Tribolium castaneum: one gene and its partner. Each later gene encodes a partner of the first gene's protein in a complex. Links are inferred from orthologs where the notes say so. Each region holds a gene or a part of one and is shown in the gene's direction. Other genes may lie near its edges. The genes, in order: RNA transcription, translation and transport factor protein; Archease.

Region 1 (3,382 bases):
CACGCTTCACGTGACACTACAATAATACGTATTACGCTACTAGGGATCTTACAAAACGATTGCGCTTTTTCAACACACTTTCAGCATTCGTTTCTTAATATCGAATCGTTAACGTGAAATTCGTGACAATCGAGCTTTAAAATGTGATTCGAGTTCCAAAACAAGCGACTGATTTGATATTTGGAAACTGACTTAGCTAGTTCTGTTTGCAAAATTCACTCATGCAAATTAATCGTTTCTGTTTTTGCGCAGTTGTTGAGTGAGACTTCAGCCATCGCGTTAAAAATGTTCAAAAACTTTGTTAAGTAGTGATTTTGTATGAAAAGTACTTACTTGTTGGAAATTGTGTAAATGTGCTCAAATAAGTTTTTGTGACATTTTTCAACCTAGTTATTGGATAGTGCATTTGATATGTATTGGGGCCATAAGGGGAAATTCGATTCAAAATGTAATCTCTCAATATCTCACGGTTACTCTTATTTGAAAGTTAAGTTATTGTTAGACTTATTTTAATTTTATTTATGCATAATGTTGGGTGCTATTAGTGTAAACTTTTGTTACGTGTTGTTACTGCGGGGTTGTGCTGCTTCCAGATTATCTATGCAATTTCAAACGTTGAACAGTCTTTAACTAGAGCATGACAGCGCATCTCAGCACCGAGATTACTACACTAGCCATTGTTTGTTACTGTTATCAGAAAGTTGCGTGATATTTATTTAATATCGATTTTAGTGATAATTCTTTTACTTCGTTGATTGGATATTATAGACGAAATATTTACAAAATGTATAGTCAACAGCATTTCTAAATGAAAGTATAACATGTAGACTTTTAGTGATTTTAATGTTTGAACAATATCCAAACTTAACAAGTATATTAACCCTATAACTGATGGATTTTGGGCAGTAATATTTCGGTACGAAAACATTTGTACCCAAGTATTACGTTTTCTTCTTATATCAATATCAGACCAACGATTCTGTAATTATCTACGTCTTACACCCGTTATTACTTTGCAGTCTTTATTGGTCGCCTCAAATTGCCTGTGATAAAGAAATTAAATCCCGATTGTTATTTTTATTTATTGGAAAGTTACTTATGATTTAACAAATTCTTTCGGACCGTTGATTTTATTTTTGCGTATTGTCACCATCAGTTACGAAATATGTTTGAGTTGAGAGAATATTTCAATGATTTTGTTTGGGACAATTGATAGAGAATGTTTACCACCATATTTTTGTATTTAACTATTTATAGGTGTTATATGTTGTGTTATACACAAAATATAGTATGTATATTATGTCACTTACCTATGATATAACTTAGTTTTAAGAAAAAAAGTAATATGTAGGTTTTTATTAGCCCTGGCGGCATTTAAGTATAGGAATATTTATTTTACAAAAGACTGAGCACGAGCTATTAGAAATTTTTATTAATTGTACTGTATGTGCATTTTTAATAAACACTTATGTATTATTTCCACTTTTTTATTAAAAAAAACTTAAGTTTTAATTACCCTTCATACAATTTTTCTTTTTATACAGATTTCTCAGGAATCATACAAGGTCATTGACATTTTGACACTGACAGCACCGGTAAAGTTTTATTTATTTTATCACTCGTGAATAATTAAAAATGGTTAAAAGGCTCTTATCAGCATTAGAGTACCCACAGTGTGATGTGAACGTTAACGGTGATCACGTTGTCTCGATAATTTTAATTTAACTTCAAATACTGATTTTTAGACGAAGCAACATTCAGAAAAATTGTGGCATGGTTGGAATTAAATAAAATTAATAAAGCTGATTCTAACGTGGCAAATGGTCTTAAAAACGTAACGTCAAATGATTGGCCTAACCATTTTCAAAAGTACAAGGAAGCTCTAGGTGTACCCAATTTACAGAGCCATCAAGAACAACTCCAGTGGCTTTTAGGTTATGCTGTGCAAATCGAGACTCATAATAATAGTAATATTGGTCGTAGCCACAAAACACGAAAATAATTTTTTGTTTTAGGGGAAGTATACATTAAACATGCAGTTGAGAACTTAAAGGCAACTAATGTTCCAACTGTTGTCACTGAAAATCCCCTTGATAAATTAGATTGTACGTAAACAAGTCGATTTTTTCGGTAAATAATTTTAGTAAATTTCAGTCCACAGTAAAGAATTTGCAGAAGGTATTACAAAATTGGCACAACTATTAAATATAACGCCCCATCCTGACCCGCTTGTGACCTTAAAAGCAGTTGCAAAGCTTGTAACTACAAGACTGTCGCCACAAGCTCAAGCCAATCCAAGCGAAGTCATAATAAAGGTAATTTGTGCGTAGTTATCAAGCCTCAAAAATCTAAATGTGTTTTTAAAGGGCACACCTTTTCCTTTTCAAGAAGCTGACTTGGGGTTTGATTTGAATGATCCTGTTTTAAATCAAGCGGCAAAAGTATTAAGAATTTTATACATCCATGATCTAAGAGATTTGCAAACGAAAGCCAATGAACTAATTGTGGCCGTTCAAAACATCACAGCTAATCCTAAAACTGACACAAAGCTGGGAAAAGTCGGAAAATGAAGTGTTTATTTCAGTTCTAATATTTATTGATTCTGTTCCTTATAATCACGAAACGGCGATTTATCAAATATTTCTCCAACTCCTAACGCTACACAACCTGCAATTACACTAATAAATGTCTAGTGAAGCACTTTTTGTGTTAATTACCTAGTCCTAAAGAAGTTAACGAGTATTTGTACTTTTGTGTTGGTTGTTTGCCATGGTAGATGAGGTAACCACCAATTGCAGTTAAACAACAAATTGACGTGATTTTACAAGCTAAACAACTCTCCTCTTGCTTGTTCCCCATAATTTGAAATGTATGTATAACCTACAAATTACTTGTCAAAAAGCCGGAGCCGGCTCTTTAAATTGGAACTTAAGTTACACTTTTACAGTTGACCAATTACGTTATAATTGCAATTAAATTACAATTTGTCATGAATACAACATAAAACAATGTGTTGTGACTCTTAGTCAATTATTTGCATTGTTTTTAATTTGTAAATTGACTTGACGGTGCCAATTTACAAATTTACCTTCATTATTTGAAATAAGCGACTGGAAATTTACGGTCACGCACACCAGTTGTGTGTCAAGTTGACATTGACAACGCAGATAACCTCAAATATTTCCCAGTTGTAAAGTGTAATTGTGTGATAAAAAATAATGACGGCAATAGACCGGGTGCGTATTATGGTGTTGGGCGACTCCGGCGTTGGCAAAACCTCCTTCGTCCACCTTGTCGCACACAACGAGCCCATAAGGTCCCCCAGTTGGACGGTCGGGTGTTCAGTGGAAGTGAAGCTCCACGAGTACAAGGAAGGGACAAA
Region 2 (2,859 bases), on another chromosome or scaffold:
GAGAGAGGCAATGATCTTTCATAACGTATACATTATAAATTTAAGACAAATAGAATTTAAAAACGTAGATGTTAGTGGCTCTTTTCACTCAACCTGCACAAATAGTTGATAGGAATGGAATTTAAAATAACTGTTTTTACCGTCTGATGACAGACCTCACACACAAGCCCCATTTTTGACACATATTCCCAAAGAAAATTAACTGAAATATTGTAAATGACTGAATAAGCATTTTTCTAACAAATAACAAGTGTTGTTATTAGTGTATATAGGTATATCTATAAGTAGTCTAAGTAAGACTTAATGATAACAACTGGGATGACCAGATTTTATATGAAGCCATTTCATCTGTAAATAAACTTGAATGTACCTAATTATTTATAAAATAGTTCTTTTGTTCGACAAAATAACGAAAATCACTGTTGTAAACACCAAATTGCATCATCGGTCGGTAATGACGAGAGTCAGATATTTGCGGTCGGATTATTGGAAGATTCTCTATTTTAATTGCAAGTCAAGTTTATTCTTCCATCGAGGTATTTTTGTGGAAACGTTGTATGATGATTGTATAGAGATTAAGCTAAAGTTGCAGGAATTTAATATAAAAACTAATCTATAAGTCCCAAGATTATTGAGTTAAGGTTGAAAGTTTTTTTATTAGTGAAAAGTATTATAATATTGAAAAACGATGAAATAAAAAATTCAAACTAGTACTGTTTAATGTTGTTGATAGTACAGTTGACAATAAAGAGCATTTCGGGAGAATTTTTCTTTCATAATAATTTCGGTTTCATTTTATTTACATTATCTTTCCCTCGGTTACTGTTTATTTAATTTTTATCGATCCTCTTTTCTGTTTTGTTTTCATTTGCGTTGGCGGTTTTTCACGAATCACAAACAATGCAAAGGTAAGTTGCTTCATCATCAACTATTTTTAGCAAAAGTATTTGTTAATTCACCATAAAATAATAAAAAAAATCCAAAACGAAAATTAAATTTATAGCATATAATAGATAGGTAGTTCATACCTTAACAGCAAAAATATTTAGTTATGTAATACATGAGCAAAACCTACAAAAAAAACACAAATATTACTATTTTATATTTACATAATGTGGCAATTACATTCAGTTAATAAAAGATAATATAAAATAAAAGAACTTTGTTAAAACAATACAAATTTTCTTTAATATCTATACTTCAGAAAGAAGTCACTGGATTTCAAAATCACTTTTTCAAATTTTCTCAATTACTAATTATGATTTACAGTAAATGAAAAAATGTATAAATGTTCTTGACCTTGTTGTTAATTGATAAGAATTTCTTAAAACAAAACCCTAATAAATGAGTTAAAATAAAATAACAGATTTATCTAATCAACAAAACCTTCTTAATTTTAAAATTAAAAATAATATTTGAGATTTTGTAATAAGTAAGTATTTAATTATGCTGCAAAAAAATTAGTGACTACTTTCTTTCAAATAACCTTAATACAGGCAACCCAAAATACACCCAATGCATGTTCGCTGTTTCGGGATTTACCACCTTCACGATTAGGACATCTTACTTATCAAATGACTGACAGCTAAAATTTTTGAGGTTAGGCACAAAAAGTGAACACATTTTTTTTTAATTAAAAAATGGAAACATTTACAAAAGAAGAATTAACACTTCCACCATGTAAATACGAATGTAAGTTATCAAAAAAATCTATAATTTTTTAATGTCATGTCGATTCGTAGATTTGGATCACACTGCCGATGTCCAGTGAGTCATACTTATCTCAGATCCGAAAATATTTTATTAACAATTTCTAGATTACATGCTTGGGGAGACAGTTTAAAAGAAGCATACGAGCAATGCGGTCTTGCTATGTTTGGTTATATGACTGAAATTAATACAGTGGAAATTAAACAGTGTTCAGAAATTGAAGCAACAGGAGACGATTTGGACGGTTTACTTTTCCATTTTTTGGATGAACTTTTGTTCTTGTTTAGTTGTGAACCATTTCTAATTTGCAGTAAATTAGTTATCACAGAGTTTAGAACAGAAGGTGATGAATTGAAAATTAAGTGTAAATGTTATGGGGAAGAATTCACGTTAGGGAAACATCCACAAGGCACAGAGGTCAAAGCCATCACATATTCCGCAATGCAAATAATTAATGACCCGGAAAACAAGAAGTTTGAAGTGTTTGTTATTATCGATATTTAGCAAAATCAATTTTTTACTAAAACACTCGCATTTTATTTCTCACCTTTTTGATAACTAATTAATTAATTATGTCTTCCATCTATTAGTTTGCGTCCAGTTAAATAAATAACAAATAGCAGACTCACTTTACGCATACAACAATTCAGTCTCAATTCGCTATTTTTATTGAAATATTGTTATGTAAATGCCTTTCCAACTTATAAAAATTGAGGGCCTTAGTAGTGATTCAATAAAATATGAAAATTTTTCAAGGAAAAGGGTGTTAAATCAAAATTAACTTTTACTGAAAAAATATTGTATTTATCTCATGGTAAAAATTAAAACGGCAAAACAAATTAAAAACAAATAATAACAAAACAACGATTACTTAATCATCCCATAAGTTAAAAGCCACACCATTTTCACCATACGTTTCGGAACCTTCAATTTCTTCACTGATCACCGACGCGTGATGTTGTCTGAACGCCTCTAGCTCATTTTCCAATTCAAAAATTCGCTCCTTTAATTGAATATTTTCAATTTCGAGTTGTCTGCATTTTTCCTCAGCTGCCCGATATCGACCAAACCCTTCATCTAAAGTCCTCCTAAGGTTAGTAACTCTCCTTCTAGTTTCCTTAGCTTCCGATTCTTCATCCGAGCTCAGTT

The links.
Region 2: RNA transcription, translation and transport factor protein (region 1) and Archease share a complex: the UniProt entries of both Homo sapiens proteins name them as parts of the tRNA-splicing ligase complex. The link is inferred for Tribolium castaneum from reciprocal best matches to the Homo sapiens genes RTRAF and ZBTB8OS.

What each region holds. Positions count from the first base shown.
Region 1 is NC_087396.1:19,110,239-19,113,620, reverse strand, and holds RNA transcription, translation and transport factor protein, read left to right. Parts: upstream 1-1,549; 5' UTR 1,550-1,635; coding exon 1,636-1,693; intron 1,694-1,745; coding exon 1,746-1,967; intron 1,968-2,015; coding exon 2,016-2,105; intron 2,106-2,154; coding exon 2,155-2,315; intron 2,316-2,366; coding exon 2,367-2,570; 3' UTR 2,571-2,700; downstream 2,701-3,382. Other genes in the region: rab-like protein 3, read left to right, coding at 3,219-3,382. UniProt on the Homo sapiens protein: RNA-binding protein involved in modulation of mRNA transcription by Polymerase II. Component of the tRNA-splicing ligase complex and is required for tRNA ligation.
Region 2 is NC_087398.1:7,382,968-7,385,826, reverse strand, and holds Archease (protein archease-like), read left to right. Parts: upstream 1-1,533; 5' UTR 1,534-1,640; coding exon 1,641-1,692; intron 1,693-1,742; coding exon 1,743-1,767; intron 1,768-1,817; coding exon 1,818-2,214; 3' UTR 2,215-2,236; downstream 2,237-2,859. Other genes in the region: sub (kinesin-like protein subito), read right to left, coding at 2,582-2,859. UniProt on the Homo sapiens protein: Component of the tRNA-splicing ligase complex required to facilitate the enzymatic turnover of catalytic subunit RTCB. Together with DDX1, acts by facilitating the guanylylation of RTCB, a key intermediate step in tRNA ligation.